6 linked regions of the Mus musculus genome follow. The protein of the gene in region 1 purifies or fractionates together with the protein of each later gene. This does not show direct contact. Links are inferred from orthologs where the notes say so. Each region holds a gene or a part of one and is shown on either strand. Other genes may lie near its edges.

The links.
Region 2: the proteins of Arid1b (region 1) and Dpf2 purify together in Homo sapiens (affinity purification with mass spectrometry; 7 studies listed by BioGRID and IntAct, counting the BioPlex papers as one, with this or other methods). This does not show direct contact. The link is inferred for Mus musculus from reciprocal best matches to the Homo sapiens genes ARID1B and DPF2.
Region 3: the proteins of Arid1b (region 1) and Bcl7a purify together in Homo sapiens (affinity purification with mass spectrometry; 4 studies listed by BioGRID and IntAct, counting the BioPlex papers as one, with this or other methods). This does not show direct contact. The link is inferred for Mus musculus from reciprocal best matches to the Homo sapiens genes ARID1B and BCL7A.
Region 4: the proteins of Arid1b (region 1) and Ss18 purify together in Homo sapiens (affinity purification with mass spectrometry; 4 studies listed by BioGRID and IntAct, counting the BioPlex papers as one, with this or other methods). This does not show direct contact. The link is inferred for Mus musculus from reciprocal best matches to the Homo sapiens genes ARID1B and SS18.
Region 5: the proteins of Arid1b (region 1) and Smarcd2 purify together in Homo sapiens (affinity purification with mass spectrometry; 5 studies listed by BioGRID and IntAct, with this or other methods). This does not show direct contact. The link is inferred for Mus musculus from reciprocal best matches to the Homo sapiens genes ARID1B and SMARCD2.
Region 6: the proteins of Arid1b (region 1) and Bcl7c purify together in Homo sapiens (affinity purification with mass spectrometry; 4 studies listed by BioGRID and IntAct, counting the BioPlex papers as one, with this or other methods). This does not show direct contact. The link is inferred for Mus musculus from reciprocal best matches to the Homo sapiens genes ARID1B and BCL7C.

Annotation. Positions count from the first base shown.
Region 1 is NC_000083.6:5,340,707-5,345,121, reverse strand, and holds part of Arid1b (AT-rich interactive domain-containing protein 1B), read right to left. Parts: intron 3,760-4,415; coding exon 2,035-3,759; 3' UTR 1-2,034. UniProt on the Homo sapiens protein: Involved in transcriptional activation and repression of select genes by chromatin remodeling (alteration of DNA-nucleosome topology).
Region 2 is NC_000085.6:5,909,525-5,914,385, reverse strand, and holds the start of Dpf2 (zinc finger protein ubi-d4), read left to right. Parts: upstream 1-1,514; 5' UTR 1,515-1,613; coding exon 1,614-1,645; intron 1,646-4,861. UniProt on the Homo sapiens protein: Plays an active role in transcriptional regulation by binding modified histones H3 and H4. Is a negative regulator of myeloid differentiation of hematopoietic progenitor cells. Might also have a role in the development and maturation of lymphoid cells.
Region 3 is NC_000071.6:123,342,734-123,347,830, forward strand, and holds the start of Bcl7a (B-cell CLL/lymphoma 7 protein family member A), read left to right. Parts: upstream 1-1,714; 5' UTR 1,715-1,896; coding exon 1,897-1,988; intron 1,989-2,192; exon of another isoform or gene 2,193-2,409; intron 2,410-5,097.
Region 4 is NC_000084.6:14,637,376-14,641,790, reverse strand, and holds part of Ss18 (protein SSXT), read left to right. Parts: intron 1-667; coding exon 668-835; intron 836-1,429; coding exon 1,430-1,534; intron 1,535-4,306; coding exon of another isoform or gene 4,307-4,399; intron 4,400-4,415. UniProt on the Homo sapiens protein: Appears to function synergistically with RBM14 as a transcriptional coactivator. Isoform 1 and isoform 2 function in nuclear receptor coactivation. Isoform 1 and isoform 2 function in general transcriptional coactivation.
Region 5 is NC_000077.6:106,269,607-106,274,750, forward strand, and holds the start of Smarcd2 (SWI/SNF-related matrix-associated actin-dependent regulator of chromatin subfamily D member 2), read right to left. Parts: upstream 3,367-5,144; 5' UTR 3,103-3,366; coding exon 2,887-3,102; coding exon of another isoform or gene 2,827-2,886; intron 1-2,826. Other genes in the region: Tcam1 (testicular cell adhesion molecule 1), read left to right, coding at 4,028-4,045. UniProt on the Homo sapiens protein: Involved in transcriptional activation and repression of select genes by chromatin remodeling (alteration of DNA-nucleosome topology).
Region 6 is NC_000073.6:127,705,573-127,710,473, forward strand, and holds the start of Bcl7c (B-cell CLL/lymphoma 7 protein family member C), read right to left. Parts: upstream 3,195-4,901; 5' UTR 2,956-3,194; coding exon 2,864-2,955; intron 2,387-2,863; coding exon 2,308-2,386; intron 1,970-2,307; coding exon 1,861-1,969; intron 1,766-1,860; coding exon 1,604-1,765; intron 241-1,603; coding exon 155-240; intron 1-154. UniProt on the Homo sapiens protein: May play an anti-apoptotic role.

The sequences.
Region 1 (4,415 bases):
TGAGCGTTACACAGTAACAGTCAATTACCCAGGAAGAAGCACTTTCCATCAGGGTGGGGTATTAGAGAGCCAGGGACTGGGCAGGAAGGAAGGTATGCTCTGAAACAGAATCATCACTTGGCACTATACACACGGCATACAATATGACACGTTCTCTTTAACATTGCACAATATAAATATTATACACGCTGGAGCAAACTAACGCAGAGTAACTTGGAGGCACACAGAAGAAACATGACGGGTGCAGACTTGGGTTAAATCAGTAGTGAGAGGCAGAAGGTCGTGGTTTCAGGCCAGTTAGCTTGCAGGGCCCCATGTCACAGTGGGTTGGCAGCCACCACCCATCCATGAGGGAATTACCACTTCTCAATGTCACCAGAGTTAATTGCTTCAAAGAAGACCTAATTAGCTAAACAATCTGAGAAAATCAAATTGTTGCTCCCACTCTCAAGTAGGAAACCCTGAAAGTCCCTTCTGGCCTTTGGGCATCATTACCAGGAAGCAGTTGTTACATCTTCCCTATTTCCTGTAAATAACTTGGTTACTATGGCAACCATGCTAGGCAAACTAGAACAGCATTCAAGAACACCCATCACAGTGCGTAACAAGATTTAATGTACATTTATTCTTAACATGTGGGACATATAAAGATTTTATACTGAATAAATGATATTCATTAAGCCAGAGGAAAAGGAGGAATTTACATCAAGTTTTTTTCTTTTTTTTTCTTTTTTTTCTTTTCTTAAACTACATTATCTTGAAATACAAATGTGGATTCTTGTCACAGAAAAATCTTTGAAGTTGTGTTTCTTCCATTTAGTTGGTTTTCTTTCTTTTTTCTTTTTTTGTATGTACTGGTGTCCATTTTCTAAATCAATCTGTATGCAACCATTTCCACACTTTGATTCATGAAGCAAACTGGGATCAGCCGCTCTCCCAACAGAGCATGACTTTATACATACAGAAACTTGTACATTACCCTCTTTTTTTGTTTGTTTTTATTTTTTGTATTTTTTGTTTCTTTTTCTTGTTTTTTGGAGATATGGTCCTAATGAAAAAATATATAAAATAAAAATAAAAAATTATTTAAATCTACCATCACTTCGTAGTTACCACATCATGAAAAAGAAACTAAAAACTTTGTACTAAAAAAAAAAAAAAAGAAAAAGAAAAAAAGAAAAAAAGAAAAGAAGAAAAAAATGAGGGTATGTTTAATGTACAACTTCTATATACATCACAGCCCATAGGCAGTAAAAAAAATATTTAAAAAAATGATGAAAGAAATCTTGAAGCTTTGTCCCGTGGAGGCTGAGCCACAGCAGACATGGCGGTCGTGGTGAGGAAGCGATCCTGCTGTTGGCTGCTAGGAGTGGATTTTTGCACCTATCTGAGAGCGCTGTTTTTTGCTCGAGGCCTAACGTAACCACTTTCCGGTGGAGAAAGCAGTATCATTGACCCTGACTACTGCTGCCATACCTCCTTCAGCCCCTACACTATATCTCTAGAAGTTTCTATTGCACAGAGCTTTGGGTGACGGGGTGCAGTTTAGCTTTTATCATTCTGTGAAGAATAAAATTCATAGGAAATCAATTTAAGAATCAATTTTTCCTTTCACGTTTTTGACCCAGTGTGGTGACATTTTTCTATCTTAGCACTTTTTGCCAAAACGTTTTTCTTTATAAAGTCAATTCACTTCCCAAAGACTGCAATACAACATGAAAAAAATTATGAAAAAACAAACAAACAAACAAACAAACAAAAATTGTGACCTTTGAATGCACTAGACGGCAACTTTGGTTAAAAAAAAAAGAAACAGAAAACCGCCAGAGGATGTACTTATACACACAGACAGCAAATATTAATTTTATAACTGTTCAAATTAATGATTTAATTCCCAATTGGTAAATAGTAAACGGGGCAGAGGAGCAAAGATTTTTCTTTTCCTTCTTCTTACACTGGATAAACGAGAACAGAAAACAGCCAGTTATATGTGACCCTCTAATGTTCACTCACACATGTGTGCCTTCACGGATGTCATAACTGCCCAATCTGAAACAGTACATCACAGATGACAGATGCAACCAGAGAGTTCAGGACAGCTGATATTGAGATATCCAGCAACCGACCCTCGTGCAAAAGGAACTCCGAGCGGTTCTCGTCCACTCTGGCCATGGCCAGCAGAGCTTTGGCCGCCCGGCACATCATGTCTACACTAGGGGGTTCCAGAGGTGGGGGCTGCATGTGCATAAGGTTATGCTGGCTCTGCTGGTACTGCGCCATCGTCACCCCGTCCTCTAGGAAGCTTATCAAGTTACCAATGCTTCCTTTCTGCACAGCTATTGCCCTCGCCGCCAGTGTGTCCCCCTGGGCAAGGTTCGATAAAAGCGCCATGGACATTTCTCGACAGACTGGATTTTTGCGATCCCCAACGTACCTAACTAATGTAGCATAAAATTTCTCCTGACGACTAAATGGAGGCGTGGCCAAGATCAGGTCCACGTTGTTGTCCTGGATACTGAGTTTACACAGGGTCTCCAGCACAAGTCTCTGCGGCGACAGGACTGAGTTGGGCCCCACAGTGGGAAAGGGGTCCTGAGCCTCTGCGGACGGGCACACCATCCAGTGTAGCAAGCCGTCCAGGATCGGCAAGCAGATGCTCTCTGTGTAAGCAGACAAGTCTAGCTGCCCGGAAATGTTCGCCAACGTGACCAGGGTGTTATCCCGCAAGACCTCGAGGCAGTCCCACCACCACTCATCTTTGCTGCAGGCCACCCCCTTGTCCTCGTCCTCCTCCTTCTCATAGGTCTGTGGCGCCCGCTTTCTCTCCGGATGCTCGTGATGCAGCAGAATCAGCTTTCCCAGGATCAGCACCAAGCCCGGGTGTTTGGACATCTCTGCGTCGTTGCCAGGCACGAAAGACAAGCTCCGCACGATGTTCGACACACAGATGCAGCGCTTGGCCAGTGAGTCCTGCCAGTGCGCGATGGTGCACAGCGGCGTCTCGTCTCGGCTCCTGGGCTCGTCTTCCAGGAGCCTGATGTTCCGGTGGCTTTTGGCCTGCTGGATTCCAAAGGGAAACTTGCCGCTGTCGGTCTGGGGTCCTGGGTTGGTGTCTTCAGGCAGAGCCCCTGGCCGGGCAGACAAGACGTCATCGATGGTGGCTATGATACTTTTCTCTGGCTGCTCTTCAGAATCACCTTTGCCTTCCAGCTCTTTCTTCTTACCCGTGGAGCTTAGAGGCGGAGGTGGACGCCTGCGAGGAGGGATCTCCATCTTGCTCTCGAAGTGAGTCTGGATGTGCTCGGTAGTGTCGCCACCACCCAGCTGCCAGTGGAGGAGCCCGCTGCTGAACTCCTGCACTCGGCCCAGCTTGTCGGACCGGTCCACCACAAACAGCTTGTTCTTTTTGACAATCTTTATGGGCAGCTTGTCAAACTTACTGGCCTGCTTTGGCGTCTCCTTGGGGTCCACGGAGGCATCTGGAGCAGCTAGGGCAGGGCTGCTCTTCCCCTCTGACTCTATCTTTTCACTGTCTTCCTCCTCCTCCTCTTCCTCCTCCTCCTCTTCCACAAGACACTCAGCATCATCGTCTTCCTTCCCAGAATCATCTTCCAGGGACTGGCTGTCATCTTTCTTCCCTGAACGGTGATCAAGAGCCTTTTGGCTGGGGTCACCCACTTCATATTCCATAAGAATTCCGAAAATGTCAATTAGGCATTTTCGAAAGTACTCTACTAATAGTTCCAGGAATCCAGACAGCTAGAGAAGAGGGGAAAGAGAACACATACAGGGTCAGGACCTCAGCTTTGACAGTGTGGGCAAGAGCCTGAGCCTAGGGCAGCTTTGGGTCAAGACTTCCATATTGTTTAATGTCCTTCTGACCAGACCCTAGAGGGCACACCACACGTCTGAGAGCTACCATCCTGATGATGGACCAAATGTGCACGAGTGTGTCTCTGCTCTCCTGACAATTGGCACTGCAGGCACCGGCACCAGCCTTCCTTGGTCATGGCTCCAAAGTGTGGAGAGTCCCACCGCTCTCTGTGGCTTGCATGACTTAGGGGGTGCATTGTGAGGAGCAGGAGCAAGGCTTTTATAGACTCTTGCACCCAAAGTGAATCTATTTGCTCCTCTACTGTTTATGTGGGAGTCGCCTGCTGGGCTTTTTATGGTTATTATTCTTAGGGTTTATGGTTATTCTTGTCTCAGGTGCCATAGGTGCCCTGATTTATGCTCTCTCTCTCTCTTTTGAAAGAGATAATCTCAGTAACGTAGCAGCTTCATAAAGAATGAAAATTATAAACAAATCAATTTAGTCCCTGATAAATGAAGGAGACTGCTTTATAAAATGCAATTTTACATTTCAGTTATTCACAATGCTAAATGAAAGACAAGAGCCACTGGCAGAGTCGGTC
Region 2 (4,861 bases), on another chromosome or scaffold:
CAGCTTCCAGAAAAACATCACATGATGTGACTAAGTTGTTAAGGAAACCAGAAGTTTCCACTTGAGTGGAGGCTCTGGGAACTTTTGCTGTTTGTTGCTATTGTCCCTCAGGTTTTCTATGTAGCCCCAGTGGCTTGGAGCTTGTGTAGCCTGCATGGGCCTTGAACTTGTGGCAATCCTCCTACCTCCTAAAGAAAAAAAGACAATCTATGCATACATATACATATACACATATATATCAGGTCCAACATGGACAGAGAGTAGATCGCTTCTAAATCCATTGAAACCGAGGTTTGGTGACTTTGTTAGGAGTTATTTCAAAAGGCCTGGTGGGAACAAAAGCACTCAGTAAGCAGAAGAGAGCCTAGGAAAACAGGGCAGTACAGAATACGAATGAAAATCTGCTTAGAAAGAGTGAAAAGAAATGGGCTGAGATGCAGTGCCAATGGGCTTAAGGGAGTCCTGTTGGTTTCTTCTTCTTCTTGTTTTGTTTTTGTTTTTGCTTTTGTTTTTTTGAGACAGTGCTTCTCTGTGTAGCCCTGGCTGTCCTGGAACTCACTTTGTAGACCAGGCTGGCCTTAAACTCAGAAATCCTCCTGTCTCTGCCTCCCAAGTGCTGGGATTAAAGGTGTGTGCCCCTACCGCCCGGCTGGTTTCTTCTTTAAGGGGAAACATGTTTGTTCATGGATTTGCATAACTCGATACTGAAGGAGAAATAAATAGTATAGAACTAAGAGGGCTAGTCACACCAGTGAAAACTTTCAATGTGGAGAATGGCTTGGTAATAGCAATCAAGGGCTTGTGGGATGACACAGCAGATACGGACTCTGGGCACCACGCCTGACAACCTGACCACCATCCCCCAGGTACAAAGTAGAATGAAAGAACTCACATCCCCAAGCTGCTCTCTCACTCTTACACATATGCTATGGCACATGCACGCACACAAAGACAGACATACAGAGCAAAGGAATGGAGAGAGAGGGAGAGGGGAGAGGGAGAGAGAGGGAGAGGAAGAGGGAGAGAGAGGCAAGCAAGAGAGAAGAGGTGGGTGCCAGTGAAGTTCAAGGACCGGGTTTACTGGCAGGAATTGTCCGAATGAGAGTCAGGCCCAAGAACAGCCCATTTTGGGCACTCACTTTCCATTCTCTAAAATGGGCTGACTGGGAACAGAGGTACCTAAAGGACTGGGACTCTGACCTTTCACTACCTACCCACCAATCTCTCCCTGTGTGTCAACCTCGTGGCTAACGGCCAGCCAGGCAGGACACTGTTTGCAACTTCTAGCCTATCCGCGTGGCCTTTTCACTTACCTTTCTCACTTTCCAACCGAGCCAGATCTCCTAGCTGAGGCGTCACTAAATGGAGGGGAGACGGATCTCTAGAATGAGCTGCAGAGGGCATGTAAGTTTTCCAATCGCGCCTGCGCACTGGGATCCTAGGCTCCTTCAGGACAGGTCGTTCTCGAGCGCTCGCTCTCGTGGGCCTGTGCGTGCGCGCACCCCCTAGCTGCGCCTGCGCAGAGGGTCGAGGACCCTGTGTCCTGAGAAGGCTTAGCGCCTGCGCGTTGTAGGTTTCGGGGCCTCCCGGCCTGAGGGAGAGGAACAGGGAAGATGGCGGCTGTGGTGGAGAATGTAGTGAAGCTGTGAGTGGTCTTTTTTGTTTGTTTGTCTCTTTTTTCTTTTTTAATCTCTCATGTACCAGAAATCTTGTAAAGGACCTGGGAGTAGAGAGGGAGGTGCGGGAAGAGACAAGGTAGAGAGAAGGACATGCCCGGGAAGTCCTTGCTGTGCGACTGCTGGGAGGGAGGGCAACAGGAGACTCGGGAGACGGCGCTGGGCTTCTTTTGGAAACTTGTGGAGGACTGGAGGGGGGCACACCGGAGCCCCCGACGGGTGTCCTCCTCGCGGGCCGAGCCCCGAGCGGAGCTGCGGGCTGCGAAGGAGAGGCTCACGGTCCCTGGCCCCTCTCTGGAGACGCGTCAGTCCCGCCAAGCCGAGGCCGGCGGCACTAGGAGATCGGGGTCCCCTCCCCGCCCACCGCCGTCCCTGGGGCCATAGGCTCCGCCGTCCCTGCGGAGTCCTAAGACTTAAGCAGCCTGGTGACGTTAACCGGGAAATCCGGGGTCCACGAAACTAAAAATGTTCTTGGGAAGAACTGGTCCAAGAGCAGAACTTCGGGGAGTGGGGAACTAGACCGGAGCCAGATGGCCTTCCAGTCCGCAGGAGCCCTGAGGTGGGCGTTCTCTGTCCCCCAGATGCCATTGTGCGGGTCAGATTTCCAGTGGAGCTGAAATAAACGGTTGTTGGGCGACACCGGGAACGGGGACTGGCCTGCTAGTCGCTTCCCCTCAGTTGGAGATGTTTGGATGAGGCTCTTCCTTCCTTCTTGAAGAAGAATCAGAGTTTTGGAACGGGGTGCCCATTGGATTTAAGAATGGCCTTCTCTTCCCTTAATGGCCATGTTAGACGTGATGTAAGGATAGAGAAATTGAAGTGTTTCAGCTGTCCAATCAAAGCTTTTGGATTCTGGATGACAAAGTAAAGGTTTTGGAACCATTCTGGAGGACTTTTCGCAGCTTTATCTGTCTTTGTCGTGGGCTGAGCCCCAATCGTCCCAAGAGGCTTTTAAAAAATTTTTTTTAAGGTTAAGTTGCTTCTTCCCTGCTGCTTGCAGCCCCTTTCTTTGAAAATGCTTTTCCACTTCCATTAAGCTAAGTGCCTTCTCTTGTGGCTTTTTTTTTTTTTTTAATCTCGCTTTTGGCTTCATCCTGCTGCCTATTTCAACCACCCCTCCTCCCAACGCTATTATCTCTGTGATCTGCCCACTCCGGATCCCCGGCTCTCTTCAGGCTGACATTTCCCTCAATTTAGAAATGAGGCTGTTAATTTACCAATTTTATAGTTCTCCTTCTGGACTCAGAAGTTAAGTCTTTATTACCCTGCCTTTCTCTTTGTTGGACCCCCCTTATTCCCCTGGAAGGGGAGTTGTCCTGTGCCCCCTCCCCACCCCCCAGGTTTCCTGTGAAAGGAGGAGTCACAGCTTTTACCCTGAAAATCTTACTGTCTAAAAGAATATGCTTGCCTAGGTTTTCAGAATTAGATGTCAATGGAGTTCTTCATGTTGAAAGATGGTCTGGCAGAAAATGGAGTTGCCAACCCATTGGTGTAGTATTTTAAGTGTTGGGTGCCCATTTAAATAGAGCATTGCTCTTCATGCCTCTTTAACTCACTGGTTCCTGAGTATCAGTGGGGCACTAACTTGCTTCTCCTCAGCTGTAGTGCAGAAGACTGGAAGCTCCTAACATGTTCCCCGGGGAACTTTCCCTTTACAGGGAAGGCTTTGATTCTCACACCATTCTCACTCTGGAAAGATGCCTTTCTGATGCCTTTTTAAAAAAAATAGTATGCTTCTGTCTTCTGTCAGCTGCCATCACTCACTGAGGGAAAGACCACTAGCTCATCTTTTTCATTTTTTGCCGTGTGAGAAGACTTTCTGTCTTAATTTTCTGTTTTTCTCAATTACAACGTCATGGTTGAAATAGTCTTTATAGTGGTCTTATTAGAGTAAATACTAGTGTTAAAATAACCATGGCTGCCAGCTAGTTTTTAAAACTTTCTAGAGTTATATAAGGCTATCCATAGAATAACAGAAGCTTGGAATTTTTTGCTACAGAGTCTTGAATTTGTGTGCACTCTCCTCTTTTGCTCTCTTCACACGCACACATGCACACACTCATGCAGTCTTATCCGGCCATCTTTCCTACTAGAGCACCTGCTTGGCCTTCTAGAATCTTACCTGGCCTGCAGGGGCCCCGACTGGACGTTCCAGTCATCCCTCCAGGCCTCCCTCAGGCTCCGCACTCTGACTTTGCAGTCTTCAGCCCCACAGGGCTGGTCCTTTCTTCCGTTTGACTTCCAGTGTCAGTATCAATTCCCATCAGCAGAAACAAAGGAGCTGCTGCAGTCAGCCTTGTTTATCCAATTTTCCTGTGTGGTAAGGACGTGGCTGCCTCCTAAAGGCGAGCCAGTGTGAGCCTGCTCTCTTCTGTGCTGTGCTCTCCAGCACATTTATCCCTTAATTATAGTTATTCCTGCTCACTGAACCCACTCAGGCTGTACTTGTAGTGTTGCTGTGTGTGCTGTGTTTGCTGGGAACAAACTAAGCTGTGCAGTGGTCTCTTGTGACTGCTCAGTGAAAGTCCCCATCAGAGTCTACATTAGGGCTTGTTGATACAGCTTTAGTAATAGCATTAGACACTGAGACCTTACTCCTTCCTGCTTTTCATGCATTCTTATCCCTATTCTCTTCATCAGAATCCTGGTAGGTCAGAGCTCATCTAGTCTAACTGCTCCAATCTATGGGAGAGGAATGGAGGTTCATACAGGTTACTTAGTTACATGGCTGTGTCCATGTGGTGGTTAGAGCCAAGCCAGGCTTTTCACTCCCAAATCCACCCTGATGCGATCTAGACACCTTATGGGTAAACGGGATGCTATGGGTAAGAAGTCCTTTCTGCCCTCAGTGTGTGCTTTTTGAGGCTAGGAATGTGGCTCAGTTGGTAGAGTGCTTGTTTAGCATATAAGAGATCCTGGTTTGATTAGCCAGCACCCTAAAACTGCATGTGGTAGTGCTTGTGGTAGTTGGGGAGATAGTCAGGAAGATCAAAAATTCAAGGTTATTGTTGACTGCCTGTGGGGTTTGAGTCCAGTATGAGCTACACAAGCCTCTATCTAAGAAAGATTGAGCCGGGCGTGGTGGTGCACGCCTTTAATCCCAGCACTCGGGAGGCAGAGGCAGGCAGATTTTTTAGTTCGAGGCCAGCCTGGTCTACAAAGTGAGTTCCAGGACAGCCAGGGCT
Region 3 (5,097 bases), on another chromosome or scaffold:
AGACATCTTGCAGACCAGATATTCGGACTTTTGATATATCTTATTTAAATACACACACACACATACATATATACACATATATTCTATGTGGGAATTGTGGTGTAGCACTTGCCTAGCATACACAATTTCTGCACTAAACAAAAATGAATTCCCTGGGGTCCAAGCACATATCTGATGATCAAATACAGAGGGTCAAATGCATGAGACTTCGGATTTATGGCACATTTTTCAATCCATCACAGAACGATTCTTTGACATATTTGTGGGGTGTGTTATTTTGTTTTGAGACAGGGTTTTCTTTTTGTGGCCCTGGCTGTCCTAGAACTCACTACTATGTAGACCAGACTGGCTTTGAGTCTTGAATACATAGAATCGGCCTGCTTCTGCTTCCCAAGTGCTGGGATTAAAGGTGTGTACCACCACTGCCTGGCTCCATTGTTTTGTTGTTGTTGTTGGTTTTTTGCTTTTGTTTGTTTTGGTTTGGGTTGTTTTTTTGTTTTGTTTTGTTTTAAGACAGGGCCTCACTATGTAGTCCTGGAACTACCTACATAAACCAGGTTGGTCTTGAACCACAGATCTCTACCTGCTTCTGCCTGGAATTAAAGGAGTGGGCTACCACATCTGATTGTTGTTCTTATTTTTAAATTTTCGCTTTAGGACCGTGCGTTTAAAGTGGTTAAAAGAAGCCTGGGGGAAATTTCCCCAGATTCTCACACCCATTTCCCCACTAGCTCCCTCTACCAAACCCCTGCAACCCCCCCAGACTTCAGGGGGAGATGCTTGGTACTAGAATCATGGCAGTCACAGATGAAGGTCACTGCTGCAACCTTCAATAACTCCTTGACTCAGTTTGTCCATCTGTGAAATGACTGATGTTGCGCTAGTTCCTCTCCAGGTAGCAGCTCTCTCACTTCAGGTCATCTCTTTTCCCAGCATTCACGTGGACAAGCATTCGCTCTGGTCCAGTCTGTGTAGCCGCAACTGCACACCCACCTGTCCCTATACTGGGTGACCGCGGTAGATCCTGTCACCCAGCTCTGTCCTAGGGTAGGGAGACAGCCTCTCATAAGTCCTTCTGTGTTGGGCCAGTCTAGTTTACCTGCTGCTCCGGGTCATTACACTGCACTTCCACCAGGAGCCGTTTAAGATTAAATTGTCATTTTCGGTCAAACCCCAGGGAGGTTGATCCGTGACTGGGACAACTTATCTCTAAGGGAAAGAAAGCCCAGAGACAATGTCAATTGCCACCGGGTTCGGGCACCTTTCCTACGACTCTAGTTTAAGCATGGGGAGGAGACGTTCTAGCTCGCACATTTTAACAGGGCAGCTGGCCAGAGACCGGCGCCTCAACTCTTTCTAAGATCACCTCGCGTCCCGAACCGCCGCCTCCAACTCTTGAGAACTCAAACGCCCGACAAGAAACTTGCACGATCGCGCCCGCGGCCACCAACCCGAGCCAGAGCACCCACGGCCTGCAGTCTGCCATCCCCAGGGTGTGTGTCTTGGGGGGGGGAGGGGCCCCCCATCGCACCTGCGGCCTCTGGGTGAGTCCTGGCGCGGGCCCGTCCCGCGTGCTGGGAGGTCGGGGTTACCCGGGAGAGCTTTCCCAGAGTGAGGTCCCCGAGGCTCCCCGGGGAGGGCGGCGGCACCCGGAGGCCGCACTGCTGGCGGCCGCGCCGCTCCCCCTCGCTCTGTGCAGCTGCCGCCCCGGCGCTTGCGCACTGGGCCCCGGGCGCGCGGCGGCACCAGGCTTTGTGTGTGCGCGTATGTGTGTGAGTGTGTGTCTGTGCGCGAGTGAGAGAGCGGGCGAGTGTGGCGAGCAGGACCCGGCGGGCGCGCTCCCCCAGCCTCCCTCTCTCTCTCTCTTTCCTCTCTCTCTCCCTCCCCGCCAGAACCATGTCGGGCAGGTCGGTTCGAGCCGAGACCAGGAGCCGGGCCAAAGATGATATCAAGAGGGTCATGGCGGCTATCGAGAAAGTGCGCAAATGGTAAGCCGAGGCGCCTGCTCGCTCTCTCGCTCGCCCCGGCTCGCTGCACCGCGTCGCGGCCGCCAGCAAGCCCGGACCCAGCGCGTAGAGCGGCGGGGCGCAGCGGCCCCGGGCCCGGAGTTGGCGAGGGCGCGCGGCCGGGGTCACCTGCGCCCCGCGGGGGCTGCGTCCGCTGCCCAGGTGTGCTTGGCGCCGGTCACCCACCTGGCGCGGCGGCGGCGAGAGCGGCGGCGGCGGCGGCAGGAGCCCGGAGCTCGGAGCTCGGCTCTCGGGAGAGGGGGGTTCGCAGCCGGCCCCAGAAGCCATTTCGTTTTTTTGTGCAAGTCACATGAAAGCGGCTTCCCGCGCGCCGGGGCCGTGATGCCGGCGGCGGCGGGCAGAGCGCGAGCTCCATTGTGCAGCGCGGAGCGGGCCGCCGTCTCCTCCCGGGGCGGCGCGGCGCCGGTGTCCCCCCCCCCCAACACACACACACACACATACACACACACATCCTACGCCCCGACCCGCCCGCAGCTCCCCGCCTCCCAGGCCTCGGCGCCCTCGAGTCTGCGGAGTTTGCAGAGCGCGAGCCGTTTAAATTTAGCGCTTTGGGCAGCCTGGAGCGAGGGCTCCGGGCGAGGAAGGAAGATGGGGGCGAGCGCTAGGAAGGCGGTGGCGCGGCCGGGGCGCGGAGCACCCACGGCTCCCACGCGCTCCGCGCGGCACCCGAAGCTCGGGGAGCGCGATGTTTGCATCCAGAAGCCAAGTCCTGGGCCGTGTCTTGCCTCCTTCTTGCTGGAGCTGGTGTTTGTTTTGCGGAGAGAACGAGCGACCGTTGTTTTTGTTCTCTGCACTGGGGGAGGAGGAGACCGCGAGATTCGGTGTGGGCCGTGCGTGTTTTTCAAGCTCAAATTAGATCCTGCCCGGCGTGGCCTCGTTATAATTAGTAGGATGGAACATTTTCTCGGCCCTCGTCGGGATCTGACACCGAGGCGGCCCCAGAGGCCAGGCCTGAGGCGCCAGTAGTCCACCACCAGGTTGGGTCAGACTTGTTGAAAACTCCCTGCTCCCTGATTTTAACTTTATTACGGTTTTTTTCCCACGGCTTCATCTGGGTCCGAGAGGGAGAGGAGCAGCTGCGAGGGTGTCCCCAAGTGTCAGCAGCCGCTGGCTGGATCTGTCCTTTATAGGAACTGGCTAGGCTCCACTGCAGGCTGGGTTGTTTTTTTTTTTTTTTTTTTGGGGGGGGGGGTCATTTCTTGAGTAACGCCTCTGTTGTTGTTGTCCTTTTTTTTTTTTTAAACACTACTGGGGACCTGTCTCCGGTTTGATGGTGTCACAAGTTAGCTGTCCTTTCAGAGTGAAACCCAACAAAAAAGGCAACGAGAAAAATCAATAAAGTCCACGTGCTCCCGGGCCTCCTATGGAAAGGGCTGTCTGCGGATGGCCGGATGCCCGCCGTGGGCTGGGTTTGGCTCCAATGGGACAAAGAATTTTCACAACCGTGAGAAGGGGAGGCTTTCCAAAGTTGAGATCCAAGTCCTGGGTGCCGGGGAGCTCCCCGCTGAGCAGGGCGACCAGTGCCCAACTGCAGCCATTTAAAAATGGCAGAAACAGCTGCAGGCCAAAACACAGGAAAACCAGCACCTTGGCCCCTCTCCTGTGGGACTCTCAAGGGAAGGCTGGGGTGGCACCCCTCCCTGGCCTCAGTCCCCGGTGCAAAGAAAGAACTGATAGCAGGGCAAGAGTCCCTTCTGTCTGTCACCCGCCTGGAGGGTAGAAAGGGGCCGGTGTAAGCTCCCTTTCTGGTCCTGGAGCCGTGACAGCTGCGGCTGGGTCTGCCAGCTGCTCTGCTGGGCGGGCAGATGGAGGGTTGGGGCTTTCCACCCTGCGGGCCCCAGAGCAGCAGGCCTGGAGGCTTCATCTTCCATGCTAGCGGGTTCACAGCCTGCCAAGCCTGGGAGTGCAGTGGGGGATGTGGCCGCTTTCTACCCTATGTTCTTTTGGGAGAAATAAGTATATCATGACCTCTAAAGACTCCAGGCCTTTTGGGATCTCCTGCATGAGTTTCTACTTCACTTCCTAGCAGTGACCTTGGGCAAAATACGAAACTCAGTTCCTTGACTCTGTCAACTAGGGGACTCCGGGCCCCCCCTCCCCTTCCAGAGCTGTTGAGGACTGGCTAGTCCGGTAGAGTCACTGGAGTACACAGGGGCCCTTATGTAAGGTGGACTTTGTAGAAATTTTGATTTGCTTCCCTCCCCATCTTAAATAGAGACGGAGGGGTCTTCCTTGAGTCATTAAATCTGGTCTTGCCCTGTCTGTAACAGCAATCTTGCAATCAACCCCTGAAGGCTTTGGGGGTTGTTTATTAACCGTGGGCACCAACCATGCATTTCACCACTGGCTAGGACATGGGGCTGCCAGAAATGAAAATGAAAAAACACAGAACATCCAGGTAAATTTGAATTTCAGATAAACAACAAAGTGATTTTTAAAAAATAAACCGTTCCCCCTGGGTGCGTGCCTATAACCTTTGGACTTGTAAGGTAGAGGCAGGAGAACCAGGTGTTCAAGGCTAGCCTCAGCTACATACTGAGCTCAAGGCTAGCCTGATCTACATTCAAGCTTGTCTCAAAAATATAAATTAAATAAAAAATAAAATGAATGCACAGGGCTCTGGGTTTTGTCCTTAGACTGTACACACACACAAAACACACACACACACACACCCCTTTATGTAAGTAGTATATCCCATGAAATATTTGAGACACATGCCAAAAAGTTATCCATTTATCTGAAATATTCAGAATCAGTGAGGAACTCTGTATTTTATGTAGAGGAGAGCTAAGGTGTCTGGTATTCCATCCGGCCTGAAAGCCCAGGGAGGTATTTTTTTTTAATACCCCTACCCTTCCTCTGCCCTGCAGAAGAAGCCGGCATGACCTGCGCACTGCCCCACCCACAGTTTGCAGCTTCCACTCCTTCCCCTTCTGCCTGGTGTCCCAGCAGAGCAGGTTAGTGGGGGTGTAAGGTAGCCAGAAGATGGCTGAGGGAGAACAATGTGGTAGGTCCCTTTTTGGGTCAGGCTTGGGAGGCCCAGTGGGAGGGAAAAAGACAAAGGGAGGTC
Region 4 (4,415 bases), on another chromosome or scaffold:
ATAGGTTTCCGTTTACCACTATAGAATAAATGTCTACTAAAAGGAATGAAAGTGTAGGGCCAGAGAGATGGCTCAGTGGTTAGAAGTGCTTGCTGTTCTTCCAGAGGACCTGTGTTCAGTCCCAAGCCTTCACAGCGGGCAGCTCACAGCACCTGTGACTCTGTTCTCTGGATGCCTTCCCTTGTCTGGGCTCCTGCATGCATGCGGTGTGCATACATCATGCAGGCTCACATGCATACAGAGAAGTCATCTTTCTCCTCCCCTCTACTTAGAGAAGGAAGTAGAAGCCTGGAAGTTGGTTTCTTCTGTTGGTTTTGTCTCCAGCCTTTTCCTCTTGCTGCAGGAGGATGCTTTGTCAGAGAGATGGTGAGATGATGCAGATAGGAAATGTATATGCCAGAAAGAGCTTGTCTCCATTTTTGTTTTTTAAAGATAACGGGAGCACTCTGGTGGACCTGAGGGCCACCACCAGGTCTTGGTTGTTTTCCTTATTTGCAGATAAATTCTGGCCTGTGAGCTTTGTGCAGAGACTCATTTATATTTGAAGTCAGTGTTCCTTGTTTGATCACACACTCGCGTATTATGTTGTAAGAAGTTCTTGTATCTATCATGAAATGGTGAACTGTTGTGCCGGGATACTGTATGATGATGTTTTGCGTGTCCTTAGGGCCGATGATGCACCAGCAGCCTCCTTCTCAGCAGTACAATATGCCACCTGGAGGGGCACAGCATTACCAAGGACAGCAGGCGCCCATGGGGCTGATGGGCCAAGTTAACCAAGGCAGTCACATGATGGGCCAGCGACAGATGCCTCCCTACAGACCTCCGCAACAGGGTGAGACGCCATTTGGGAAATTCCGTGCTTAATGTAAATAACAGTAATTGAAGGGCTTGAAGTTTTAATGAACTTTTGATCTAGGTAAATCCAGGGCTTTTGCTGGACTCCCCTGACACCCACGAAGGGAGCAGGGTTTAGGGTACAGAGGGTCCTAGGCACATAGGAGCGTCCCAGCACCCAGCTTCCTGTTGCCTGGTGTTCTCCAGGGAAAGATGACATCAGGAAATATAAATATCAGAAAATGCCCCCTCCCTTTTTTAGAAGCTACTAAATATATGACAGAACAAAGCCAATTTTACTTCAAAGTGCTTTAGCGTTAATGTCAAAGTAAAAAGAAGTCAGGTTCCCACCAGCTTCAGCCCCTGTTTCAGAGGTTGTTTTTCCGAGTTGATATTGTTTGATATTATGTGTATCTTATATTAATTTTATAAATGACGTGTGGACCTGCTTGTGTGTGTACCTGGGAATAGTGCCAAAGCATGGTGGGGTCTCCAGCTCAGAAGTAGTCTCTCGTAACAGCAGATTAGAACGATCGCCTTTGATGCCATAGAGAACAAATGATTTATGTCTTGACTGGTTGTGGTTTTTCAGGCCCACCACAGCAGTACTCAGGCCAGGAAGACTATTATGGGGACCAATACAGTCATGGTGGACAAGGTCCTCCAGAAGGCATGAACCAGCAATATTACCCTGATGGTAATCTCTCCTAATGTTACCCTTCCCGTTTCTATCCTTGCCCAGTATCAATGCAGACAGCATTTCACAACTCTTTAATGAAGGGCGAAGAAACTACCAACTTGTTTCTTCATTTAGAAGAAAGCATTTGGGTATTGTATAGTACCACCAGGAAGGACATTGGTTTGTAATTAATTCAAAGTATATTTGTGCGGTCACTGTTGGTCCATCCGGAGCTACATTCTATCTCTATATTGTCTCTCGTGTGAAAGAGGAGCTTTTTATATTTAGGATTGTTCATTTGAACCCAAGACAAATTTCTTCTTCTACTTCTTTTTTTTTTTTTTGTATTTTTATAGATTTAATTCATGTGCTATAAAGTTCACTCATTGTTTTGCTCTTATGCATTCTATATAAGGAATATAGCTCTATAAGACTGTAGAGAATATTCTTGGGTAATTTTCATTTTATTTATGTTCCATTCTTGGGAAAGAATTATGCCTTATATGCTTGCTCTTGAGAAAAGATGTGTCTGCAATCTAGCCGTAGATAAGGTGCACTGAATAGACTGAGTGTACGCAAGGCATTTGGGTTTATAATTTAGCGACTTCCCCCTGCCTCCTTTAAAAGGGGACGTGACTTGTAAGAAGTTGACTCCGCTAAGAAAGTGCAGGCACTGATAATCCAGGTGTACAAGGGCATTTCTACTGGGCAGTTTAAAACTCTTTTTGTTTGAAAATTTTGTATCCTAATTTGAAGAAACATTCAACATAGAATCGGTAAAATAATAGATAATGTTAATAGGTAAAAAGTAATATTACATAGTAATTCATAGTGTTTTGCCAAAATATTTCATCCATAAAGTAAATTCTTTTGTTATTTTTTTTAACGCAATTATATGGCAAAGAAACTTCAGACTAACGTTTAGGACCCCTTGGCTAGAACCTAACGCAAACCACCAAGAAGATGGAGTTTGCATTCAAATGGCATTTCATCTGCTGCTTTTCGTCAGCATACAAGGCATAAAGGCATGTCTGTGCTAAGCACTGTCACCAGGGCTACACACAGAAGCGTTGGTCAGTGATGGTGCATAACTCCGCTTAGAGCTGTGTGCTTTTAATCTCAGGTCTTCTTGCCATTGGTATTCAGAGTATTGGGGCTTTTTCCTCTCCTTAATTCTTTGTGGATAGATGAAGCTTTTTTTTTTCTGAAATTTAGACTTTATTAATAGTACATTTATAGAAGATTTCAAAGGTGGCATCTATCTGGTAAATAGAAGTAATCTCAGAATAAATGATCTTTTAAATCAACTTTAAAGTACATCTTAAGCAATTGTGTTGAACTTAATGGTTTTGGGTCCTGAACATTTCCTGAAATACGAACTTTGTCTTATTTTAAACCTTTCTATTGAAAATAGGCACCTTATTTTTGTAACTATTGAAACTTAACATTTATTACTTGTGCTAGCTTGTTCTTAGTCTAAGTAGTACCATGGTTTCACAGATGTATGTATAGTAGGCCCTGACAAGTACAGAGTGTTAGCCACAATTACATTTCCTTAGGCAAAAGTGAGTATCTTCTCTCAGGTCCAGATAGTCTTGCCCATAAATACATGGGTGAGTGTTTGCCTGAGTTTTTCTGCAAAGGGCCAGGCAGTGAAGGTTTTGGTCCTTGTGGGCCATGTGGTCTTGCTGTCACATTGCAGACCTTTAAAGATAGCAAGAGAGCTGCTGTGGGCAGCACTTAAAGTGAGCAGACATGATTGGGTCACAATAGAACTTTGATCTCAGCCGGCCACGGCCACAGTAAGCTGGTTGATCATACATTGCCAGCTCTTAGAGACTTTCATCCTAACACAGTGAGTGTGACATGTGTTTGTGACTACAGTCCTAAGTAGGCCTTTCTGGAGCATTAGTACCCATTTAGCAACTGAAGACATTAGTTCCTACATTTCGTTTTTAAGTGAAACATTAAAGAATTAAAAAAAAAAATAGTCTACTGGTGGAAGTTACTGAGTCATAAAACTTAAGGTGTTCTCCAACTCAGGAAATATGAATTTTATGAACTTTTATGTGCAGAATACTCTAGAAATATTTCTAAAGAAGCTTTAAATGACAGCATTATAAGATACATTTTTACTTGGGTGCCAGTCAGGTGGGTCCCTGTGAGTCTGAGGCCAGCCTGGTCTACAGAGCGAGCTCTAGGAACCCAGGGTGAGAGACCATATCTTTAAAAAAAAATGACTTTTTTTGGCATCTGGAAATACTGTGAAACACTTGTACTTGATGCAATAAAATATTAGAGGTGTTAGAAACTCACTTCACTTCTTTTCGGAGTACAAACTCAAGGACCTCATATTTTGTATTGTTTTTAGTGTGTGCTGGAAATGGCGTCCAGTAGAACAGGGGTTTGATTAAACTATGATAACTTCCATCCTTTGTTCATTCTGATTGGTCTCGAATTTCTTACATGTGAGAGGCCTAAATGTTCTCACTTTCTTTTTTAAAATAGGATGTAAGGGTTTTTTGTCCTCAGTGAGGATTATCACAGTTTGGAGGATGAGTGTAACATTTCTAAGATTACTGTTCTTTGCCTTGAAATAGTATGCTTATAATCTCACAGTGAAAGCTTTCACGTTGGTAAATACTTGCTAATGCAATTAAGATTATTTTTTTATGTATTTCCATTTCTTTTTCTTTTTTTTTTTCTTCAGTTTTATCTTAAAGTTTAATTGTAGGGTTTTCACTCAGTGGCCATTAACGTTTCTTCCTGTCTCTTGTCGAATTGATGTAGGTCATAATGATTACGGTTATCAGCAACCGTCGTATCCTGAACAAGGCTACGATAGGCCTTATGAGGATTCCTCACAACATTACTACGAAGGAGGTATCTATATACCTTC
Region 5 (5,144 bases), on another chromosome or scaffold:
TTAAATAAATAAATAAATAAATAAATAAATAAATAAATAAATAAATCTTTTTTTTTTTTAAAGAAAAAAAATGTAGGGCTCAAGTAAGCATGCTCTGCCGGGCATGGTGGTACACGCCTTTAATCCCAGCACTCGGGAGCAGAGGCAGGCGGATTTCTGAGTTCGAGGCCAGCCTGGTCTACAAAGTGAGTTCCAGGACAGCCAGGGCTATACAGAGAAACCCTGTCTCGAAAAACCAAAAACAAAAAAAAACAAAAAACAAAAAAATAAAAAAAACAAACAAACAAAACAAAACAAAACAAAACATGCTCTGCTCTCCTCCAAATCTGTAGCCCTGGTCCTTCTGATAGCTGCCTGAACCTAAGAGCCTCATTTGGAGGACATACCCTGACCCTATGAACAGAGGTATTTTAAACTCTGAGCTGAGTGAACCCTGCAATAATGCACACTAGGTTTTGTTAAGCTCTTCAGGGTAACTATACTCCAAAACTAGAAAAAGCCTCTAGAGTTAGGTGGGCTATCAATTTACTTCAGCAGGCTCCCCAATATGCTCATCTTGAGCACACAAGTCTGCTCACCCCAAGAACTCTAACCAGGAGCCCCTCTGGCCTCAGATCCCAAGACTTGCTGGAAGTTGGACATGGGAAGAAGCAAGCGGGATCTCCTTCAAACTCAACCAATGCTAACTGGGTTCTCCTTCCCTCCTTTCCCCTGCCTTTCCCTGGAGGAGGAAGAGGAAGAAGAAGAGGAGGAGGAGGAGGAGGAAGAGGAGGAGGAGGAGGAGGGGGAGAGGAAACATAGTTGGTATGGGATGCCCAGATTCAAGGCTATCTCCTTTCTCACAACTAGCAGCCGCAGCCATTTGGCTGGCCAGCCTGGCCTCAGCATAGACCCAAGGCTACTCTACAAAATATGCAGGAATCCATCTTCCAGTCTTCAACAGGGGCTTTCCCAATGGCATGTTCTCTATCAGCTGCTTTCCAAGGAAATGGGTCTACATAGTGAGTTACAGGACAGCCAGGACTATATAGAGAGACTTGGAAAACCAACCAACCAAACAGACATCCCCAGTGCCTGTAGGAAGCTTCCAGACCAGCTCTAAACAAGCAGAGCCAAGGGCTGACGCAGAGACTCATCAGTGATATACTAGGCCCATGAATCTCCAAAGAAAGCCACATGGGAAAGATAAACCCCGCTAGTATCCTTGGAACCACGTCTATCTCTGTTTATACCCAAACTCGTCATTTTCTTTTTAGATAGGAGTTGAAATGAAGGGGGTCACTTATCCCCACTCCGACCCCCAGTTAGGTATCTCCTGGGTATCTGATTCCTGGGCTGGAGAGATGGCTCAGTGATTAAGAGCGCCGACTGCTCTTCCAAAGGTCCCGAGTTCAAATCCCAGCAACCACATGGTGGCTCACAACCATCTGTAACGAAATCCGATGCCCTCTTCTGGTGTGTCTGAAGACAGCCACAGTGTGCTTACATATAATAAATAAATGAATCTTTAAAAAAAAAAAAAGAAATCTGATTCCTGGGTGGAATATGCATACATCATGAAGATCTATTTCTGAGACTTCTACCTAGAGACACCAGCAGGGGACAGAGCAAGCTACAGTGCACACCTCTCACCTCTCTGGCACATAGGTTGAGAGACATATGGCCTTGTCAGGAACCTGAGGGATAAGGAAAGAGAGGTTGGGCGTGATAGTGTGTGACTGTAATGCCAGACACTTGAGAGAAAAGAGTTCAAGGTGGGCTTTGGCTACACAGCCAGCCTGGACTATATGAGACCCTGTATCAAAAAGCAAGTAACAAAAGTGACAAGGATGTGGGAGAAGGATGGGCACAATCCCCAGGAAAGGAGGTGCAGCTCCCTGATACAGCAATCGTCTGCCACGTGCAAAGCCCTGCCTGGATTCCATGCTCAGCACCAAAATGCAAAAGCAAAACAAAATTCCCAAACATTCTGGAGCCACTTGAACCAGAGCTCTGGGGAATGAGGAGCGCCACATGCAGAATCAGGCTGAGTTCCCAATGCACTGACCACGGGTCCTGTCTCTGCTTGTCAATGGCCTTTGATGCTGCAACCTGAGACAGCTCTCTGCCAAGACAGAAGGGTCAGGGCAGTACCCTGTGCAGCCCAAGACCAGCAGGACTCCACAAAGCCTCCCTGCTCCTCCAAACTTTACTGGACACTGGCATCAAGAAGGAAAGCCCCGTACAGAGGATATCTTGAATGGTCTGTTAATGGGATCGGGCCTTCTTCAGACCTGGACACAGCTATTTCTAATCTATCCTGGAGTTATCTGGGCCCAATCTCTTTAGTCTCCCATTTCGTAGGAAGCCTGGCTTCCTTCCTCCTCAACTTGAGCAGCTGGGAGCCATCTCAGACATACTAACGCTCTGCCAGTTCCCAACTAGGAAGAAAAAAAAAAAAAAAAAGAAAGAAAGAAAGCCAAGGCAGAGATGCAGTGGGACCGAGGCCAAAGAAAGAGTAACCCTGTTTTCTCACTAACGACCCTCTTCCAAATTTTCCTCACCACATCCCGGGTCACTCCCTCACCTCCACTCCGGGACCTGTCTTACACTTTCAACCTGATTGCCCACAATTCTCTAGATCTCACGAAGCCTCCATCTCTAAGTTACTCGGAGCCAAGAAGCCCCGGGACTCCTCTAACTGCTCAAGCCCTCCACCGCAGAGGGCTTTCACCCTTTCCCCAACACTGCCTCCAACCCCGAGCCACTAACCAAGGGACTCTGGCCTGCCCGCCACCAGCCCTCGACAGTTCCTCCTGCAGTGTCCCCTGGGCCGCCTGTCCTCACCTGAGGCCCCAGGGAGACCGACACAGCGCCCTCGCGGCGCCGCTCGCCTGCCCTCCTCACCTGGTACTGCGCCGCGGGGCCAGCGGGGCCCATGGGGCGGAAGGCGGCGGCCCCCGGTACCCCCATGCCTCCAGAAGGCCCCGGGCCCCTGAGCGCCGGGCTGGGCAGCATTCCGGGTCCCGCAGGCGGAGGCGGCGCACCAAGGGCCGCGGCAACGGCGCCGCCGCCGGGGCTCAGCGGAGGCAGCGGGAACCCGCCCGCGCCACGGCCGGACATCACTCTGTCCCGTCCCGCGGTGCAGCGATCCGGCCTCCGGTCTCCGTGTTGAGTCCGCTCCGCGAGCTACGTTCCGCGATCCGGGACTTCCCGATTTTACTACCGGGTTCCGGGATCTTCTACTCCAAGTTCGCAAGTTCTTTGCAGCCCGGCTTTAGGATCCCGCGGCCCCTCTGACTCCGCTCCTGCCAGGGATACTCCAGATCCGGGATGTGCCGCGAGCCCGCAGGCCTCTCCCGGCCTCCGGAGGTTTGATCGCCGGAGTCCAGTTACCCAGAGGCGGTTACGAACTCCCAGCCCCGCCCAACCTAGACCCTGCAGGCCCCGCCCCTGCCCGGCAACCCAATCGAGAATGCCTCTTTAAATCCCGCCCTCGCGAGACCCGCCTCAAACCAGCACCTCCCATAACTGACGGCCTTAGAGCCCCGCCCTTGGGGGAGGCGGCCTTTTCCCGGAGGAGCGGGAGCGGAAGCTGCACGCGGAAGCGCGGAGGAGAAAGGCGTGGGGTCAGAGTTCGAAGGTCGCGTAGGGCCGTCCGAACTGTTAGGTGTTTGCTGTTTGCTCCGTAGTGCTGCTGCCTCGGCGAGATCCCCGATATGGCCCATCCAAAACAGTTCCGTCAATTCTGCGTCTTCAAGCCTTAAAAATAAGCGATCCGCGGCGGGAAAGCCGCCAACCACTTTTTAAGAGCCCATCTCGGGGCCGGTGGCATAAGGCACCCCACACCCACCCACCCATCTACCCCCAGAAGCCTGTATTGGTTGCTCCGCGCTTCCAAGGACATGGGCGGCCCCAGACGTGACCCAGCTGAGTGAAAGCTTGGCTTGGCCCAACTCCGAGTACTTAACTGCACTAACTTGCCCGTGCCTTTCTTTAAGGAAGCCTGGTAATTCGCAGAAAATGTTTTTAGGTGAAGGGATTTTGCATGCTGAGAGAACTCCAGGTACTGAAATAAGTTTTATCCAGTTTGTATAGGACTTAGTTTTGAAAAGTTGAGAATCAGCCGGGCGTGGTGGCAAACGCCTTTAATCCCAGCACTTGGGAGGCGGAGGCAGGTGGATTTCTGAGTTCAAGGCCAGCCTGGTCTACAAAGTGAGTTTTAGGACAGTCAGGACTACACAGAGAAACCCCGTCTCGAAAAACCAAAAAAGAAAAGAAAAGTTGAGAACCTTTTCAGAAACCACTGGCTTCGGCTATGTTATAGACCTACCCTCTGTCAATGTGGTATCTCCTACCCACGGTATAGAATAGTGCTACTTAACTAGGCACTGAAAATCCTCAGAATCAGGTTGGGGGTGTAACTCAGGTTATAGCGTGCACAAAGCCCTGGGCTTGAACCCCAGACTGCATCAACTACATGGTGGTGCATCCTCAAAATCCCAGCACACAGGAGGAGGCAGGTGGGCCAGAAGTTCAGGATGGTTCTCAGCTGCATCACCAGTTGATTCTACAGGAGACCCTATATCAGAAGAAAGCCGAGCTTTTTGTTAAAATGTGGTTTATGGTTCAATGAAATGGGGGCAGGGTACAAGATTCTGTATTTCTTTTTTGGTTTTTCAAGATAGGATTTCTTTGTGCAGCCCTGGATGTCCTGGAACTAGGTCTGTAGACCAGGCTGGCCAAAGATGACATAGGCTTTGGTCTTTTGACTAAACTGCTTTTGTTAACTTGTCCAATAAAGAGTTGTCCTGTAGGTGGGTTGATCTCACTTGTGTGCCACAAAGCTTTTGAGCTTTCAGAGATGGTAGCAGGTCCCAAAAATGTCAGGGAAGCAGGGTCTCGAGACCAAAGCCAGCATGAATTACTTATATGAAAAGTAAGGTCTGGATCAGTTACCTAAGACTGTCTGGGCAGAGTGAAGGCTCAGTTACCTAAGAACTAGACCTCCTGGGCAGAGAGAATGGGGGAGGGGGGTCTGTCTCCAGAAAGGCACCTTCAAGTGACTTTGGTTCAGAGCACCTGTTTAGTGGAAGCCATTTGAAAATTAAAGCCCTGAAAGTGCACAAACACACACACACACACACACACACACACACACAACT
Region 6 (4,901 bases), on another chromosome or scaffold:
TCTTCTACCAGCCATGATGCAGCCCTCAGGGTGCTGTCTGTAATACTCTTCACCCAAGAATCCAACCTCCAGCTAAGCCTAGCACCAAGTCTCCCTGCTTCCCCAAAGCCTCCAGTCCCCACAAGGCCAGAGTGCAGACTCTGGCCTCTCTCACCTCAGCTTCTAGCAATTCTGGAACAGGCTCCTCCTTGGTCAGCTTTGGGGGTTCATCAGTACCGCCTGCAGGTGTCCCCCCTGGATCTGTAATACCAAGCAAAGAGAGACTTCCTAAGCAGCTACTCTGTGGTGGGAGAATGGATCAGGGACAAAAGAAGCAGGCAGGCACTGGTCACATATGGCAGCAGCAGAGGGGGATCCCTAGTTGCCAAGGAAGGCAGACTCAGTCAGGTTGGATCTCGTTAGTGGGGAGTGAGCCAGGAGACAACAGAGGTAGAGCAGAACTTAGGCAGACAGAAATAGATGCTTAGCAACCACGGATCCTAAATCATCTGCAGAATGGAAATAGTGTCAGTCAGACCACGAGAGGCTGCTGTGTGTGGGGGTCAAGGGTGGAGCTGCTCAGTAAGTGCCAGGTAGCAAGTTCATTCATTCACTTACTCATTCATTTCTTACATTTCTGTGGTAGTAGAGATGGGGCTCAGGGCCTTAGGCATGTCAGATAAGCACCTACCACTGGACGCTTCCCCTGCCCTATCCGTTTATATTAGCAAAAGTATTTGGAACAATCTCGGTATGGCCCAGGGGCCATGTCATGGTGTTCTTGACAGGGGAACAATTTTGGCGGCAACAGTTTGTCAAGGCCTCAGTGTGAAGTGAAGGAACCAGAGGCTGCGGGGAGCCGAAGAAGGATGTGAGGCAGGAAAATAGCCGTCTCGAACGTGTGCTTTAGGAGAGCTGCTCTGCAGCCACCGGGGACAGGCGTGGAGGCCAGAGCAGGTACAAGGGAGAAACGAGAAGGCAGAGCCAAAGGCACAGGAGTCAGGCACGCCTGGGAAGTGGTACTGACCAGACAAGGGGTGGACTATTTGAAGACAGAGGAGCTGAAGAAGGCTCAGGCCCAAGGTGTTGCTCACTGGCTCTTAAGTCTGGGCATCTTTCTCTGGATGTTGGTCTCCTCGTGTACAGAGAGGACTCATGATAGAATCATTGGTCCCAAAAGATGACAGTGAAGATTAAATGCGAAAACAAACAACAGAACTTCGGAGTGCTCAGAGGAACGACTCACAGACAAGCGGTTCTGTTAGCTGTTAATCTACTGCTATTAATCCCTATGATTATTGGAATTATTTATTCCCTGAACATCTATTACGCATCCCACATGATCAAGATCGGTATGGCTGACAGGAGATGATAACAGAAAAAGACAATAAGCAAGCAAAGAAATAAATCTGCAAAAAAAAAAAAAAAAAGTCAGCTGGTGATATGCTCCCTACAGATCTAAGAAGCCGGAGGATTGAGGCACAGCTGGAGGTGATCTCTGCCAGGGTCAGGGAAGATTCCCTGAGGGAGGCGGGACCGGGTGAGAGGACATAATATAAGAAACAAGGACAGGATGGTGGGTTCAACTTTGATGAGAGGGCTCCTGAGAGCCACAGGGCCCTACCTCTCTCCTGACCCAATTGTGGGGGCTGAGTATCTTCAGTAATCACTTCTGGGGGTCCAGTTGGTGATCCAGGGCGGCTGGGCTGGGGCGTCCCCCCAGGGCTGGGCTCAGCACCCTTTTGCAATGAACCTTCAGAATGGAAACTCTGGTTGCTGTTCTCATCTGATGAAGCAAAAGCCGCGCGTTAATTAGCCAGAGATCCCCAGGGGATTCCTTCAGTCCCCCCCACCCAACTCCATTCCAGAATCTCTACATACCATTGAGATCCAGTAGGATGAGGGGGCCTCCCCCTCTGGGACTGGTGCCCCTACCACGTCTCTCCCGGCCACGGGATCTCTCTGCCCCGCCTCCTGCCCGCCGCCTCTCCTGGGGGTTAGAGAGGTAAGATCAGAGCTAGTTGTCTAGGGAGCTCTTACAAAGCCCTTCAATACGAATAAGGAAACCTAGGCTCAGAGAAGCGAAAGGTGCTGCATCAGGTTGTGTAGATTGAGTTAGGCCTTGAACTTGGAGAAAGTGTGTGTGTGTGTGTGTGTGTGTGTGTGTGTGTGTGTGTAAGTGCGCTCGCGCCCCCTAATAATCGTTACCATCTGCCTGGGCTCCACACTGGAGTCTCCAAGCCGACTGAAGGTGGAGGCCAAGGCTGGGAGGGAAATTGCTTGAGGCTGCACAGATGCAAGGCCTGTTGGGGGTTGGGGCTTGCTCACCTCCTCCTGGGGATCCACCACAGGCACCCACTTGAAGATTCGAAGGGAAGTGTCTCCCACAGTCACCCAGCGCTTCTCCCTGTGGGAGGTCAGGAGACTGGATCAGGGAGGCCCAAGGATGAGCCCCACAGACTGGAGGTCAGGGAGGTGTGCTAGGGTAGGGACAGCTTCGCTAACACTGGCACAGAAGCAGAAAGAGCCCTCAAACCCCAGGGCAAAGCAGAAACGGATATAACTTGGAGCTGCGGTTTTGCAGACACCTGGGGCACTCAGCAGGGCGCCACCAAGGCCTGGCCAGGGACTCTGGCAATGAAGACCCGGGGCCAAGCTTGCTAGAGTGTCAAAAGCTTCAGGGGGCGGGGCATAGATGAGGGCTCCCGCTCAGGGAAAGCACCACTCCGGACCACGCTTTGTAGACCTCTGGGAATTGCCGGGGAAAGGGGGCGCCCTGTCGATTCAGAGCACAGCTGGTGGGCGGGGGCAGCGGGCCAGGAAAGGGCGGACGCGTTTGGAGGAGGTGGCTTGGCTGTATCCCTGGCCCGGGGGCAGCGCTCACCATCTCCGGACCTTCTCGATGGTCGCCATCACCTTCTTGATGTCATCTTTGGCCCGGCTCCGGGTCTCGGCCCGCACGGTCCGGCCGGCCATGCTGGCGGGGCTGGGGCCGGGACAGAGCCCGTGGCGGGGCGGCCTGTGGTCCGGCGATCTCAGGCTGAGCGCCAGGCCCCAGCGCCGCTCTTTCGGCCTGCCGTCCCTCCGGGAGTTGGCCGCGCCCTCCCTCGCTCCCCAACGCCTCCGCGCGTCCCCGCCTGGCTTCCTAAGACCGCGCCCCGCCCCGGCCCGTCCCCGGAGCGGCCCGGGCGGCGCGGGCTGCTAGAGCCCCGGCCTGGAAGCCCGGCCAGCCCCGCCCCGGCCCGGGCCCGCCCCTCGGGGCGCACGGACGCACAGCGCCCTCTGCCAGCCACGGAGAGGGAGAGCTGGGGGGCAGCTGTGCGGCTGGACGCGCGCGGCCCGAGCGAGGCGGTGCGTTCCGGCCACGTGGGCTCAGGGGTGCGCGAGAGGGACTGTCCTGGTGTGCGTCCGCGGCGGGTGGGCGTCCCTGAAATGCTCTGTGCGCGCGTCTGCCCTCTCCAGGCTGTTTGATTCTACGCTGCCCAACTTAATTTGTTCATTCATTCATTGAACAGTCCCATGAACAGTGCCAAGTACGCGCCAGACGCTGCGAGTGGAGAGCGGGCCTCCTCAGCCAGAATGGCGGGAATGAGAAAGACCATGTAGATGGGGTAGCAGAGCAACTTGGCATTCCTTGAATCAGGTTGTGTAATTGGTAGAGATACTTTGGAAAACTGATAGTCTTCCAGTGAAAAACTTATACCAACCCCGTTTTCCAACACTTTCCACTCCCAAGCTATCAACACTCAACAGAAGAAATGTGTGCTTGCCTAGTTTTTTGTCAGCCTGACATAAACTAGGTCAGCTGGGATGAGGGAACCTTGGTGGAGAAAGGGCCTCAATCAAGATGCCCTATGGGTAAGTCTGTGGGGCCATTTTCTTGATGGTAGTTGATGTGGCAGAGCCCACACCACTGAGGGCAGTGCCACCTCTGAACACTCTAAGAAAGCAGGCTGGACAAGCTTTGGGGAGTAAGTCAGCAAGCAGTATTCCTCCAAGGTCTCTGTTTCAGTCCCTGCCTCCAGGTTCCTGCTTTAAGTTCCTTCCCTGACTTCATAACGGACTATCACTGCAAGCTGAACTACATTCTTCCCTCCACGAGGTGCTTTTGGTCATGGTGTTTATTACATCACTAGAAACCTCACTAGGACAAAATGTGGTGTCTGTATGAACACCAAGATATGAATACTGGAAAGTTTGGGACTCTTTTCACAGTAGCAACAACCTGGAAACAACACAAAGAATGGAATGGAAGGGGCTGGCGAGATGGCTTAGTGGGTAAGAGCACTGACTGCTCTTCCAAAGGTCCTGAGTTCAAATCCCAGCAACCACATGGTGGCTCACAATCACCCATAATGAGATCTGACGGCCTCTTTTGTTGTGTCTGAAGACAGCTATAACAATAAATCTTTATAAAAAAAAAAAAAGAATGGAATGGAAAAGCAATTACAACCTATTTCTACCATGGACACGGACAGAACAGCCAGAATCACCAGAGTCCAGCTATGTGCAACAGTGAAGAGAGATCTTGGATGAAAGAAGTCAGATGTGACAGCATGCATTAGAATAATAATTAGAATAATTAGAATTATATACATACATACCTACATATAATTCTATATATAACAGAAAACAAATACATTTTGGGGGGGGGGTCTGGACAGTGATCACTATTGGGACTACCAAGCAAAAGAAGGGGTTTCTGGGACCCGCTTGTCACACTGGTCTTAAGTCTGTCAAGATGTACATTTAATACTTGTGTAATATTTCTTGTGTCTATTATAGTTCAGCTAAAGGTTTACTTAAAATGGATGCTGTCAAGATGTCTCAGTGAATAAGGCATTTGCCACAAAGCCTGATGACCCAAGCTCAAAAATTGGGAGCCCATGTGATAGAAGAGGGAACCCACTCCTGACAGCTCT